Nothobranchius furzeri: one gene and its partner. The protein of the gene in region 1 interacts with the protein of each later gene in a biochemical or structural test. Links are inferred from orthologs where the notes say so. Each region holds a gene or a part of one and is shown on either strand. Other genes may lie near its edges. The genes, in order: tcerg1b and sf1.

Region 1 (8,450 bases):
GCGTGCGTGCGTGCGTGCGTGCGCGCCACAGGACTGCTGTACTTGGAAGGCAACCTTGCATGCTTCACTCTGTTGCAGCTCTTTTTTGTGAGCTGGCACCAGTGATTGCTCGCCGTCCCAGCGTCCCTCTGCTGCTCCTCACGCAGTGGTGATTAGATTTTTTACAAATTACCACGCAGAGGAACACAGAGGGGCTGTGAAGGTGTGACACATAACCTATAGTCATTATGTCCCTTTCAGAAAAACCTGTTTTTATACAAAAAAAAAACCTTTATTCAGCTTTTCCCTCATTGCGTCATAAATAATCCAATCAGTTAATCCGAAACTAAACAAACTGATTTTGTCGTCTTTATTTAGGTTTGTAGCCCAACATGTTTAACCTGATTCAGTCAGAATTTTTAAGCCATTTTAAAACATAAGAAGTGACACAGGGCATGTGTTTTAAGGCTTTTATTCTGTTTGTTTCACTTCCTAAAAAGAATCAGTAAGGGCGTTGGATCTTTTCTACATATAAAACAGTCACGCAAACGTTTGTTTCTGTGATTACAGGATCATTAAGGTGAGTAAAGCAACCCAGACATGTGCAGCGTGATGCTCCAGACATGATATTCCAAGGTGTTCCAGGAAAGTAGTACGTGTATGAAAGTGTACTCTGGCCCTCCAGTAGAAGTAGAAGTACTTCCACTGGAGCCACACGAGAGTGGGTGGCATTCAAATGAAGGGCAGAAACGGTAATTCCTCGTTTCTCCGTGTCTGCCCCCCCTTTTACATTTATTTAGCAAATTAAAAGGTTGATTATTGTGGAGCTCTTCCTGGGTTGTGTTTAATTTGTCATGCCTGATTATTATGCTATTTTGTGTTCTCACACCTGGGACCATGCAGCGTTTCTTTTCACACTGTGTGTTTTATGTTTACAGCACATGACTCAAAGCAGAAATATTGGTGTAAATCTTCAAAAAGTATTTTTACAAGCAGACATTCCTCACTCTGATCATCTCATAAACCACATTTTGGGAGTGGGACCTGTCCTACATTTAACATAAGATACATTTCCTTTGTTTAAATGATGAATTTTAAGTCTAGCAGAGATCAATCCAAAAACGGTTTGTGTGAGAAGTGAGCGAATGGCGTTGTGTATCTTGGTTTGACGTGCAAACACAGCTTATCATTTTCTGAGGCACTGTCCTCCAAAAGACCAAATCTTTATTTTGTTACTCTCAGAAGGATAATTCCATAGACTTCCTTTAAATATTTTATTAGTTTACTTGTGAAGTCATGTTCATACAGGAGAATTACAGCTAATCGAATTTAGTTGACTTGAATAATGCTTTTCTTTTCCTTCAGCAGGACGTTTTGATTTGATTGTACTTGTTTTCTGTACTTCACTCAACATTAAATTAAGTTATAAACCTTAAATCCAGAGATTCCTCATTTGTTGACATTATTTGAAAAGAATAGCTCAATTTCAGCTGCACCCAGGCTTTCTGCTCCATCACTGAAGAAAGGGTTGCAAATGGAAAAAATATATGGCCCCTTAAAGAACCTTCCTGAGAGTGACCAGTAGGGGGTGTGTCTGCAAGAATTTGGTGATGAGATATAAATCACAAAACAGGAGAGATGACACATATATTGTACTAAACGCCAGATGGTATTTAAAATATGTAACACTGAATTGACTCAAGGCAAGACACCTCCAGAGTTTTACATCAGAATGAAGGCGTTAAAAGCTACTGTCACCTAGCAGTCGGAGTTTGAATTGCACCACAAAAGTACAGAAAATAATTGCATGTAAATTCTCAATTAAATATAAATAAAATATAGATACACTGCTTTTACATATCAACTCAGTATTGTAAGGTGAAATATCACAATATATTGATATAATGCGATGTATCGATATTGTCTTACATTTTTAGACTTGCACACACGTGTTTAAAGATGGCTGCCTCGTGTAACTAGTTGATTTGAAGCGTTGTTTATATGTGTCCCCTGAAATTAACTTGACGCGTTTGCAAGCTGCAACATACAAGTTACCAGTAGGTGAGGTTGACAAAACGAAAGAGAAAAGCTCTCCATGGTCACTCCGTCTCTGGTTTTGAGGGTTTTTTTTACCATCTATTTTCTGTTTTGATCTCAAAATTAACCAGTAAATGATCTCTTCTGTTGACGCCATGTTTGTTTTGGTTGTACCCATTGACACCATGGACATACATACATTGATTGACACATACAAACCTAGAACTCTGTCTGGTCTGAGTTCCCCCTAGTGGAACAGTCTAGTACTACATGCAGTGCAGCAGCAAGGATGTGAACAAAGACAGCCAGCTGCCTGCCTGGACTTGAGGATGAAAAGCAAGTTTATTCCCAGCTTAAGTTGCCAACCTACCAAAATTACTCAAAGAGCTAAATGAAGAGTTCATGAGGCCACAAAGAAGCCAGAAGATTTAAAGCTCTGCTGGCTTTGTGTGGTTACGATTAGAGCTAATCAAAAAATATGAAAAGAACCGCTAAAGGTATAATATGTATCTTGATCTTCAAGACACACAACAGCAGAAGAAGCGCTATGAATACTTTTCGGATGCACTGTATTTGGATAATATTATATTTAGGGTTAAATACTGTCCGTATATAGACAGCTCTAACAAATGAACATTGGAAAGTTTCCACGTTTTTATTGTGAATAAAAACAGTTTGGAAATGTTTTCTTCTACTTGCATTTGTTATTATAAAATCTAGTTATTAATTATTACTCATTTTCTATTTTGCCCCGAACCAATTCAATATAATATGTTGCACATAACTTAAACTTGTTTAATCAAATCAATAAAATTTGTATCAAATTAAATCAGCAAATTTTTGGAAATTACTGTTTTTTTGTGATATGGTGGCCACCTGGTAAAACTACATCCATTCTTACTAAATTAAATTAAGTTAGCAATAGGCAATATAAAATAAATATATTCAATTAGAAATTGTTAACAGCATACATTTGTAATTTCTAATCAAACACTGCAGATATAGAACTTTTAGTTATTTGTTGGGCAGCAGTAGCTCAGGAGGTAGAGGGGGTTGTCCAGCATTTGGATGGTTGCAGATTCAATCCCGGCTCCAGACAGAGAATGTTGCTGTTGTGTCCTTGATTGCTGCTGACTCTGAAAGGTGCTATACAAGTGGGGGTCATTTATCATCATTTATTGTTTAGTTCAAAGATCAATAAATACCCAACTGCATCTAAAAAACACACATACATTGAATTAAAATATATAAAAGGTACACATTTTGTTTTAAAGGAAAAGCAATAATGTATTAGGATTTCACCATGAATGTATAAAACACTCAAATAAATAAAAGAATTTTTACAGTTTTTTTGTCTAAATATACGTTTAATTCAATTACTTGTAATTCATCATTTAACTTGATTGATTGCAACATACCTGATATATATCAGGTATATATATATATATATATATATATATATATATATATATATATATATATATATATATATATCAGGTATATATATATATATATATATATATATATATATATATATAATGGATAAAACCCAATCCTTTAGTATCTGGCTTACTAAGGAGGGGTGTTTACCTCTCTCTAGTGGACACGGGGTTACTACAGCCATCAAAAAGCTAAACAAGACAACTGATTAGCACGTCCTGTAAATTTAATCTATATAGAATATACCACTTACAATTTGCTATGGTTTTTAAATTAGCGTTAACTGCATGGTTCTTCAAGATAACGGGAAAGCCAGAACGTCTTGAGTAATACAAACTTAGAAAAAGTGCAGAGAAGATCTAATACTACATTTCAGTAGTGCAACAGTATGACTATGATAACTAAACAGTAAAGACATTTTCCTGCGTAAAACATTCAAATGTGCCTAATTCAAATAAATCTACATCACATTCAAGCTAATTTAAACTATTTATCAACAACCGGACTGAACAAAGACGTGTAAAAGAAATGAGACCCATATTAGCCAATGACTGATTTGCTGAAGTTACGCGAGAGGAGTATTATCCAATAGGTGCGAGCGTTGCTCAGACGGCATCGATGTTGACGTCAAAGATCAGCCAATGGGAAAAGGGCAAACCCTCTTAGGGGCGTTTCCAGGAAGAGATCAATTAACATTTTCCTGTAATGGCGGACCAGGCAGAGACCGATACTGTTGGGTTTAACGACAACAGGTGAATTTGTCGTTCAACGTGAACGTGAGATTATCGTTAAATTGATCACAATCTAAAATGTCATATGCATATGTAGTTCTGGCGGAATCTTCGTAATAATCAGCGGGTTTATTGGTGAATGTAGCCACGCCAGCTAACTAGCTTGTTGCTAGTTAGCCCATGTTGCAGGTCTCGTCCTGCTTGTAGCGGGCGGTAAACAGACATTTTTCTAGTATAAACGGAATTCTTATCTCCCAAGGCCCTGATCTTCTGTTTAGACAGTACACGTTTAAACAAATAATACCAAGCCTGTATGTGTTTGTAAACAGAAGCGCGGATCATTTTCTTTAGTCTTTTGAATGGTGTGTGTTTCTGTTAGTTTGGTTAGCATCAGACGACAAAATTTTGATTGTGTCTACGTGCACGGATTACTGGACATGCCCTCAAAAAGGTTTTACACACACACAAGCATCTGTACTAACTTGACAGTTTAAACAAAAACGTAATTGCAAAATTGAATGCGTCAGAAGCTGTCCCCATGCTACACTTAACTTTTTAGATTGATAAATAATCATGTAGGGCTGCACGATATTAGGAAAACCTGCGATATTCGATAACAGTGCTTAATATTGTGATATCGATATTACTCGCGATAAATAAACAAATCCTAAAGTATGTAGTGTTGTCATCTGGCGTGTGACGTCTGCTCTGGGTTTAAAGCAAACAAAAACTAATGCATGAATTCCATTACAGCATAACATTTTTATTGCCAAAATATGCAGCTGCACCTGCTACTGTATTAGCAGCAAAACAACATCTGCATGCATGCAGTTTCTCAGTGACTTTAAAACATCACCTCCACCATAAAACTTTTTCTGATGCTCCAAATACAGAAAAACATCCCTTACCAGTGTTGTTTGAATAAATAAAAACAATCAGAAAATAAGTTTAAATGTTAAATAATAGTTAACATCACTTAAATGCAACAGCAAATTCTCTCATTGCTATTGAGCATTTTCTCCACTTATGTGGTTATGATATAAGGCTGTTGCTGTAATTGGGAAGTGAACTGTGCTGGGCCAAACTAGGAGAATATTAAGATTTTCTGAGGGAAAGAGAAAAACAATTGTCTTTCAGAAGAGGAACTGGTAAAAAACTACATGGAAAATATGTGAAAACGTTTGTTTTTAACCCCAAATTGAACAAGTTTACCTAGATCTTAAAAAGCAACTCAGATGATGAAACTGCAATTATGATTCTGATAACAAGCTAACAAATTGAACTAGCTCGTCTTAAGATAACCGGCTAGCAGAGCTTCTGACTGACAGTTTATGTGCAGCAGCAAATCAACTATCCTGATTAACAAGGTTATAAAAGCTCATAAATGAAAAATCACTTTGATGTGTGGGGGAACTTTTCCAGGCCCACTTTAGCAGGGTGGGACTGGGAGGAGAGTGCTGTAGCCTTTTAGCTGGAAGCTAACCGGAGCCTGGGGCTAACATCACCACCCGGTGGAACACTAGCGACATGAAGGTGGGTTGGTTCACCGGCACATGTCGGAGTCAGCCCGGTAAAAATGATTAACGACACCGAGCGGACTCGCGTTCACGTTTGAAAGCAACGCTGATAACAGAAACATCAGCACAAAGTGCGTTCGTTGCTCTGAGCCAGAAGGCGAACAAGGGAATGGCGCCGCTAACTCTGTTCGGGTGTTGCTTTCCAAAAGGGTCTACGTAGGGGGCGGGCGTATTACACGAACAAAACCATCTGATTGGCCGCATATCAGAAGGACTACATTTGGTCAAATAATACTTCCGCGTAAAAAACAGAGCTGGTTTACAAAAAGCTGATGTATGACACTGATGGAAATGTTTGAACCAAACATTTATTGCTGTTTTTGCCGTGTTTTGCAATGGGCCTATCGCACGTGTTATCGCGATGACGATAATTTTTCGATATATTGTGCAGCCCTATAATCATGTAATCACCACCGTGTATGTAATGCATTAGTATTGATTTTGCAACGGAATATTCTTATTACAGTTTGTGTTTTTCTTGGCTCTGGCTTGGCTTAAACAGCATTTTTGTAAGTAGAAAACACGAAACTTTGCGTTAAAAAACCTTTAAATTTAATGTAACGACTTTTCACATGACTACTTTGGCATTTTGTTGGGTATTTTTCATCCTGTCTCTTGTTTACAAGTTTGAGTATCGTGCATTTCTTCTTTTATGACTTGTGCATAACTCTGCGTTGTTTTGTTAGGATAATGCAGCAGGCAGTGCAGTTTCGCAGCCCTGCCCCTGCCGCTGCACCCGCTCAGACCCCGGTGTTACGGGGACCTCCGCCCCTCCTCAGACCACCTCCACCACCGTTTGGAATGATGAGGGGACCCCCGCCAAGACCTCCATTCTCACGCCCACCCTTTGACCCCAACATGCCACCCATCCCACCACCAGGAGGCATGCCACCACCCATCGGACCTCCTCACCTCCAGGTGCTTTTTAGCTTCAAGCAAACATGTTTATGTTTGTTTTTAGGAGTCACAATGTTGTCTAAAGCTAATAAGCTGGATTTGACATACAGTTCAGATAACAGTGGCATATGGATAAATCAGAAAATGATAATTTTTAGCTTAATTGCTACATGTTTGCTTTTTTATGCAGGCTTACTACATAAAAAGCTACGATTAATTTTATTTACCCATTCAGAATCTTGTTAACAGTATGGATTGAACATAGAAAAGAGGAAAACAAAATAAAAACAGATTTTTTTTAACGTATAGCTCTCATATTTGCTGTCTGCAAAGAAACAGACATAATTTAGCCATATAACTGCATTTTAGAGAGAAATCCGCCTAAATGTTTTACAATTATTTGATTTAGATTACAAAAGTGAAATGCTGTTTTTGTGTTTTGTTTTTGTTCTGCAGAGACCTCCGTTTCTCCCCCCTCCTATTGGAAACTTGCCGCCTCCTCCTGGGATGTTGTTTCCTCCTGGAATGCCCCCTGTCCCTTCATCTGGAAACCCCACTCTCAGTCCTGCTGAGGAGATCTGGGTCGAGAACAAGACACCGGACGGAAAGGTCAGATGGAAGTTTGGTTTATGCAGGTTTCTCTAGTGAGACTGATTATATATATTTTTTTTAATTTATGCAGTTTTTCCAGATTTTTTATGAAGACTAAATCTCAAGTTGTGTTTACAGACTAGATGACAAGTTCCTCTCGTTACCCTCACAGGCATATTACTATAACGCTCGGACCAGGGAGTCATCCTGGAGTAAACCAGAAGGTGTGAAGGTCATCCAGCAGTCTGAACTCAACCCTCTCCTGGTAGCGGGGCCTGCAGCTGCAGGCTCGGGGCCTAGTGTGGGTGTGACTGCAGCTGTCAGCTCCAGCAGCGGGAACACCACGGCCAGCACAGCCGGAGCAGCCTCTCCCACTCAAGCCCCATCCTCAACCCCATCCCACACGCTCACCTCCAGTCCTGACCCCATCACCACCGCTTCCCCCTCTGTGTCCATTGCAGGTAAAGCTGTGCATCAACGACCAACAGATCGTGCAAACAAAATCAGAAAGTAACCATTTCTCTTATTATTATTCAATTTCTGTCTTCTGCAGCCACCGTCGTAGCAGACCACCCTCCTGTTGCCACAGTTACATCCACTGTTGCTGTGTCGCCGGTCACCGTGGTGACCGTTTCCACGGTGCCGTCACCTGTCACAGCCGTTCAGACTGTGCCACTGCTGCCTGCAGCTTTGCCTCACAGTGTGGCCCAGCCTACTGCAGCCATACCTGCCTTCCCCCCCGTCATGGTGCCACCGTTCCGGGTGCCTTTACCCGGCATGCACATTCCTCTGCCAGGTGAGTGGAACTGTTGCACTGGAAGGATCGTTTTGCTGCTAAGGCTGCAGTTGGTTAGCTCAACCTTTAAGATTCAGGGACACATGGAACAAACTTTTGAGTGTTTTGTCTTGTTGCTGTGCGGCTCCTCGTAGCATCACCTCTGCTAAGTGTCAACATGTGCGGGTGGGGGAGTACTGTAGTCATTTTTTTGTGATGCTTATAGGAAAAATGTGTTTTTTAGTACATAAAGGGATCAGATTTACTGTAGCGCTACATAACGTTTTGTTGTCATTTAATAACGGGTGTGTAGTATCTTAGTGTCTGATTGGGACCACACACTCGTGCACACCATGGTAGCTGATGTCTGGTGTCCTGCTGTGTTCAACCACATGCTTGCTTGTCCGTTGTTCTTGCAGGTGT
Region 2 (7,893 bases), on another chromosome or scaffold:
ATCTTCTGTCGCGTTGAAACGGGCGGTTGTGCAATTAATTTTGTGTAAATGTATCTGTTTACTCACTCAACTATGTGATTCAGCAAAATCTAATCTGGTAAACGATACTATTAGGGCTGCAACTAACGATTATTTTTCATAATTGATTAATCTGTCGATAATTTTTATCGATTAATCGGTTTGTTATTGTTTAGCTATTTAACCTATACAAGTGATGAATACATTTCAGTTAAGAAAAAGAAAAACATAGGAGAATTATGCAGTTGACTGCAATCGATTTTATTGCACATGAACACAGTCAGCGGTGTAAAATAAGCTAAACAGTGAAAAATATCAGTCCTGAATAATTTTTTGGCATCAAAATATAAGCGGTAAATTCCATGAAAAATTATGTAGAATCTAGAATAGAGTTTGTAAGTGGTATGCATTGCTGGGGGGGGGTGAGTGTCTTGTTCCCCATGTAGTTGTCCATCGTTGCTTGTTTTTTTCTGCATAAGAAACACAAATAGACTGAAATAAGTACACATATAAAATAAAGCAGCACACACACTACAACACTAAATCAATATTATATTATTTGAATTAACAATATACAGTGATCATTTATTTTGATAAAAATGCGTTGTGAGGCGTTTTACAGCGTTAGATAGTAAAACAGCCTTTTAATAGCCTTGAAGCTAAAGCTGAAATAATGGCCAAAGGAGGAGACGGCAGCGCTCAGGAGGACATTTATTATCCCTCAAAGAAGACAAAGTGGGAAGTACGGGCATGTTTTCGATATCTGAAGAATGCCGAGGGACAGTTGATAGAAGACTGCTATCCTGTTTGCAGCACGTGCAGAAAAAGTGTCTGTGAAAGGCAGCAACGCTTCAAATCTCATGACACATCTGCGTGACCATCACCCACAACTCTACAGTCAACGCAAGGCAAGCTAACGTTAGCGTTTTAGCTAAAATGCGTGATCCGAGGATTTGGGTTGAGGGAGAACGCAACGAGTCGCTATATAAAGCAGCTGCAGCGCCGCTACCTGCATATAAACCGTGTCGCGGACACCCCCCATGTTGAAATGACGCTATGCATTACGGGGCTCCCAGGGGCGGATAAGAGTTGGTCTCTCTCTGAGAATAATTATGAATTTAACAATGATTACTGCCTGATGACATTTTCCCACATCTGCAAAGCTCACTGGAAGGACACAAACCGAGGACGATATTTTCCTGATATAGGGTTTATTACTCAAGTAAGGGTAAAAAAGTATCTGATTAGAAGGCTACTTGAGTACTGAGTATCATCTGGTCTAATATTTTTAAATGATGACATCAAACAGACAAAATAAGAAGTTATGGGCAAATATTGGTATTTTAAAGACTAAAGGGAAAAATATAAACAAATAAACAACATAATTACAAAATAACACATTTTAGGCAAAATTTAGACACAAACTGAGGACAATATTTCCTGACATACAGGGTTTATTTAATTGTGTGAAAATGTAACACGTTTAAAAAAACTTCCGTGATAATACCGAAAACCGTGGTAATTTTGGTCACAATAACCGTGAGGTTAAATTTTCACACCGTGACAACCCTACTGCTATGTTGAATTCTGGGTTAACTAAAGCTTTTGTCTTGAATACACTAGTTTAAAAGCAATGACATCTGCTGCCAATGTTTTAATCACGAATGCATTATTACAGATATAAATTTAATCAGCTCAAGTTGGGCCTCTGCTTGAGGTGTTTACAATTTTCTAACATGACAGGACTGCTTCCGCTCCCATTGTTTTGGTTGGCGTGTGCTTTCCTGCGTTCTTTACCAGTTGTGACAAAAGCCATTTTCCCAATTAATAGAAATAGTTTGGACATTGTTTTCCTTTCAACTTTGTACTTAGGCATTTGACACCAGTCAGCGGTAGGGCTGGGGGAAAACGATTATTTTTAAAACGATTATTCTAACGTAGGGCTGGGCGATATGGACCAAAACTTATATCTCGATATCTTTAAGCTGAATTCCGATATACGATATATATCTCGATATTTTTCCTCCTGTAAACTGTTGACAAGTTAACTCACTTCAAGCTCTTGAGAAATTATATACATAAATCAGTAGGTTAAATGCATAAAAATGTATTGATTCTGGTCAAACTTTAACCGTAGTGCCTATTCTCTACCAGTCTGAGCTTTAGTAACACAGGTACAGATGTCTGCTAACACACACACACACACACACACACACACACACACACACAGTTGAGAGCCAGAGGTGTATCAAATGTCCCACAGGCACTTTTTAATTATATATTTATAATTAATGTGAAATTATTTAAATTTCATCTAGAGGTGGCCCATATTGTATAGATCTTGTCCAGAGAAAAAAAATCCATCATGTTAAGCTAAATGTACGATGATGTAATTGCATCTACTGAAGATCACATGGGTCATGCACCATGGAGTTATTAGTTATTAGAAAAACTAGTTATTAACTAGTCGTTAGTTATTAGTTAGCAGTGTTGGCTCATATCAGCGATTATACTGTAATGATTCAGAGTCTCTGGTTGCTTTTATGAGTGTTATTTTCGGGCTACTGTCGCCATAACCCACACCTTACAAACTCAACTTTTTCATCAGAGTCACTCGTAACGGAGTATTTACTAGCATAGCAAACCAGAACGGAAAAAAACGGAACCGGAACAACATTTCTCACCCGTTGAGTTCGCCTTCAAAATAAAACGGTAACCCTATAGTTTACTATTCAAACCCTTAAATATGTTTCAGGTCATTTGGCCACTCCGGCTTTCCGTAGCCGTTTCCTCATTACACAGGGGAGGGAGGGGTTTGGCTCGTCTCTCTGCACAAGCAGGATGGAAAACCGTTGGCATTGAACGTCCCCAAATAATTAAAAACCAGGAGGCCAAATGCAAAGTTTAGAGCAGCACATTTACCCAGAGGCTCTCAGACTGAGCAAACTTGTGAGAATATACGTAATGGCTGCTTAGAGACGGAGCAACATGTCGCTAGCATAGCGGCTAATCGCTAGCATAGCAGTTTGGCCAGTTATATCGATATAAAGATATAGTCATCTTATATCTTGTTTAAAAATTATACCGATATTTAAAGAATATCGATATATCGCCCAGCCCTATTCTGACGATTATTTTATCAAATAGTCGACTATTCTAATGAGTATTTAGAAAATTAGTCTAATGATTATTTTTCTATTGCACAATTAACAAAAACCAGAAAATCTCAAATAAATTCCTCAAAAACATTGATCAATTGTTACTGTAAGAGAATAAACACTACAGGCCTTCCATTTTGTACAACACTGCTTTTATTGTGTTGGTTGGTTATGTTCTGGTGACGTGTAGATCTTGGGAGTGCAGGCTGCTGCCTGAGAGGTGGTTGGAGACGGAGTGTCTCCATGCTGCTTTGTTTTGGTCACTTATGTGCGTGAGGCGAGTGGTGTTACGACCCTTCCTGGGGAGTTTGGCTCGTGTGCAAAAAGGAAGGGACAATAACGGGATTTAAAAGTTAAAATGATGATCAGGTTTGTTTACAACTACAAAAAAACATAAATCTTTCCATCCGCAGGTTGGGAATAATAAAACTAATTCTGCCTGTGTGGAATTAAAACAAAAGTACAAATAAGTGGGGATGTCCCACTGGGCAAAGATTACAGGGTTCTGGACCAAAATAAGGATCTCCAAAGGTCCAACTCTAAACTGGGCGGTGAAACCAAACTCAAGGTGATATTTTAAACTAAACCGAAAACCCACAACACTCTAAATGTAATAAAAGGGAGATCTGCACCACAAAAAAGATGAACTCTAAACCAAAACGTAACAGCTTATCCAAACGCAAGAAGCTGTTAGCGAAGATGCTAACAGTAGCTTTACCAACGTTAAGTTCAAGTCACCAAGTTTAAATAAACCAAAAACACCCAGCAGCAAACAGACCAGCACGGAGGAGAGACTGCTACCACCAGCACAGCTCTCCTAATGTCTGAAAGAAGCTCCTTTATGAAGGGAGAAACGCTCCCGGTGATTTTCTACATCTGCGGTAGAGACGAAGCAGCGCATCTGACCCCGGAAGTTGTTGTCCGTTGCCGGGAGACGAAGGCGGGCAAAACAGGAAAATAATCTAGTTGTGGACGGACATTGTTCCAGGTCTTCGGTATTTGGCGGAGATGTTAGTGAAGGCGGAGAAGAGGGCGAACTAGAGGAGGAAAAACAGGCAGATTCCACAAACTCCTGGGGATGCAACAAGTGGGCGCGGTGCATCGACTTCCGGATCTGACGTCGACAAATTTTTAGAATCGAGCCGTCGACGTCGTCGAGGCTTCGCTACTGCCCTAGCCAGAGGCTACATCAGATAGCATCTTCTTTTCTCTGACATTTGATGTAGAATTTGAATAACGCTTCTCATAAAGGGGTAAAGTAAAATTCATGGGTTAATTTTTCTTGTTTAGATTTCGGCCAGAAGAAAACTAGGAAGAGGAGTCGATGGAGCAGTGAGACCCCTGATCAGAAGACTGTTATACCGGGGATGCCCACTGTTATTCCCCCTGGACTCACGCGAGATCAGGAGAGGGCGTATATAGGTAAATGATGTTCGTCTTTACCAAAGTTTACCATGTCAGTTACTGGATGTTACTGTTTTGTTGAAGGTTCTAGTTTTCTCTTATGGTACCAGCATCTAGGCTATTTCCTTTTTCCTGAATTCCCAACAGTTTGAGCTTTCTAAGGCAATGCTAATTCAAAGTCAGATAAAGTTCTTTTCACTGTTCTTCTTGCTAAAAGGTGGAAATGTCTTATTTTGCTCCAACTGTTGAGACAAAATAATCATTCTTACTAAGCAATATAATAATAATAATGCTGTTGTGAGGTTTCTGTTCATTTCCCTTTGAGTGTTTCTGCTGTTTTGTAGTCCCCCAGTTTGCATACCATTGGGCAGCCATTAACAAGAGTTGGTGATAGTTGATCAAACGTCTGTTTGCTGAAAACCGCCACGCTGCCGCTCGTTCAACACATCCTCATTACTCTGCGTGGTAGAGGATAATTGGCCTGAATGTGGGCAATGCTGCTTCAGTTGGGTTTACACAGATTCTTCCTGTTGCAGAAGAGAACCAATGCTAAAATAATTAGACTAGTAGAATATAGACCAATATCAAACTTTATTCATAAAAGACTAAGATTTGTATCTTTTAGGCAGGACCGACAGCATTACAGCTGCTGACCCAAAAAAAACCCACAGATTTTTGGGTTAGGGCCGTTTGAGGTGGACCTAGATATGAAATTGAACCAATGGAAAATAATTCAGTTTCACATTGAAACCTGTAGGTAACAGAAACTGTTTAGATTAGTCTGTTTTTGGGGGCCGAAGAACAAACAAAATCTCAACTCACCAATAAGCCACTAATCCGAGGTTGCACAGAGTTTATCGTTGCCTCTTCCCAGAAAGAAGAGGGATCTAGTCTTCTAGAAGCAGTATTGCTCAAACATCCTCTTTTAAAGGAAATAATTGCCTTTAACTAGTCTCTCATTGGTAATGGTTGCTTTTCCTTGGTATGTAAACATTCATTTGTGCTCACCTTCTGTCACACTTCTAGCTTCTTTTGCTCGTTCAGTAGATCCCCTAAAACAAGAGTTTTAAGATGTGAGCATCAGGCCTGTATTCATCTGAATAACCCAGAGTAATTGTTTCAGTGATCACTGAATCTGTGTTCAAGGGGATTCTTCTTCACAACTTCCATAATGTGCATGAAATGACTGATCTATTTTATTTCTTCATTGTCTTCTAAATGCAAGACTTGTTTCTGTGTCACAGCAACCCCTCAGTGTTAGACCTGTGGAGTGCAAAAAGTGGCTTATCGCCAGTTTTGTTGTTCAAATCTGCAAAACAAATGGACAAACATGCGTCCTCAGAATCCCAGAGAGCCGTCCCATATTCATAGAAGTACCTCGGCCTTGTTTGTAGACGTAATGATATGGCTGGCTGTTTAGGAGTCATGGTTTCATCATTTGACATGTCGTCATGCTTAATCATGATCGAAGAGCAAGTTTTTCTCTTCTAACGCCAATTTGAATGACTTTATAAACATTTTGATAGTGTGGTCTCACCAAAACCAGTAATTGGTTTCATGCTTGAGTTTTATCAGATGTTTGTTTGAACTTCCTTTTTATTTGGCAGATTCACCAAATATGTTTAAAGCAGTAATGACTGAGACATTGCTCTGAAGTGCAGAGCGTTGTCTCTCTGATATTGTTGTGGTAACCACATTTCTCTCCATCCTTGTTTTTCTTTCCTAACCTGAATTCTTCCAGTCCAACTGCAGATTGAAGACCTGACTCGTAAACTGCGTACAGGAGACCTGGGAATCCCTGTTAACCCTGAGGACAGGTCGGAAAAAGATTAAACCCTCAAACAGTAACACTTTCTCTACCTTCTTGACTATTTGGAAAGCAAACATTGACTTGTATTTGAGTGTGGTTAGTTTAAATGTCATGTTTAGTGAAAAGTTTGAGGGCACCTCGATGTCCTCACTTTGCTAGAACTATTACTCACTACAGCACCACAGTTCCTAGAGTTGCTAGCTTCAGAAAGATATAATTTGTTTATCTGTGGTTCTTTTTGTAAGGATTTTAGTCAGTATGGAAATGAATGGGTGTCAAAATATGTTTGATGTATAAAGTAAAGCTTTCTAATGGTTAAATTAACTTATGCTTAAATAATTAACTGTTGTGTTTCCATAAATACAACAAATAAACCGTAGAGATTGGATCGATGCAGCCTGAGGCTGCAGGCCGTTGATGCAGAACTCATCAGGTTTAGCTTTATTTGCTTTGTTTCCTTTTGCAGCTTCAGATCACATTTAGTTAAGCCTCCAGTTAACAGCAATGTGATCAAATAAAAATGTGACATCATAGAAAGGTGAGAAAATAGTCGACATGAAGGAGAAACACTTGGAACACCAATGGTTAAGTCGCCGCCGCAGTGCCACCCTCTCGGCCTCCTTGTGGGGCATTTTTCAAACAGGAAGCGTGGGTGACGTTAGCGTGGGGATCTTTTTGCCACATATTAACATACTTTAAGAAAACTTTAGAAGGCAAGGGAGAAGTAAACATCAAACCAGTAATGCAACTAAAATCCTTCCATCTGGTTCAAGGGCGATCAGCCTTTATTTACACACACACCACATTTTTATCCAAGACAACAGTTCAGTTACATTGAAATAAACATCTTTTATCTTTTATGTAAGCTGTAAAGTTTAGAATAAGCTGTAGTCTAACCAGACATTGTTCAGCTGAAATCACCAACAATGATTTCTCACTGAAAACAGAAGACTGGTTCAAGTCAAACGACAATGACTAAAACAACACAAACGTGGATTTCTACTCCTGCTCAGTTAGAGCCTGGTTCTCCCTACAGCCTGATTTATTCTTCTCTCTGCATCGGTGCGGCGACACGCAACGCCATTGTGCGTCGCAAGGTCTCTTCAGCAGGCTCGCCGAGGCTGACGGAGACATGCCCGACTTTTTAACTATCCATCAAAAGTGACTGAAGCTGCAAGCTTGTGATTGGTCGGGATGCTGTTTCCTTTTAGGTTGTCAACAGCACCGCCATTGCCCCCTCAAAAAATAAGCTATTTAGCTGCTGACACAGAACAGATTGAAGGCCGTGCAGAAGATGAAAATACAAGATTTTTGTCACCCGTGACTGAAGTACAAAAATACGAAGCAATCGTTTTTCTTATTTGTGGATGGAAACGAAGAGAAACGTGCGTTTAAAGGTGCCGATGGCGTGAAGAGGTGGAGGAGAACGGCGACAAATCGGTTCGTGTTAAAACGTCTATGAAGTACATGAAACAATATAAACTCCGTAGTGAATGCATCGGA

Evidence for each region.
Region 2: the proteins of tcerg1b (region 1) and sf1 form a complex in vitro, tested with the Homo sapiens proteins (3 studies listed by BioGRID). The link is inferred for Nothobranchius furzeri from reciprocal best matches to the Homo sapiens genes TCERG1 and SF1.

What each region holds. Positions count from the first base shown.
Region 1 is NC_091750.1:56,777,219-56,785,668, reverse strand, and holds the start of tcerg1b (transcription elongation regulator 1), read left to right. Parts: upstream 1-4,119; 5' UTR 4,120-4,161; coding exon 4,162-4,208; intron 4,209-6,450; coding exon 6,451-6,682; intron 6,683-7,117; coding exon 7,118-7,270; intron 7,271-7,424; coding exon 7,425-7,713; intron 7,714-7,805; coding exon 7,806-8,048; intron 8,049-8,446; coding exon 8,447-8,450. UniProt on the Homo sapiens protein: Transcription factor that binds RNA polymerase II and inhibits the elongation of transcripts from target promoters. Regulates transcription elongation in a TATA box-dependent manner.
Region 2 is NC_091743.1:88,299,998-88,307,890, reverse strand, and holds part of sf1 (splicing factor 1), read left to right. Parts: intron 1-4,466; coding exon 4,467-4,598; intron 4,599-6,321; coding exon 6,322-6,397; intron 6,398-7,893. UniProt on the Homo sapiens protein: Necessary for the ATP-dependent first step of spliceosome assembly. Binds to the intron branch point sequence (BPS) 5'-UACUAAC-3' of the pre-mRNA. May act as transcription repressor.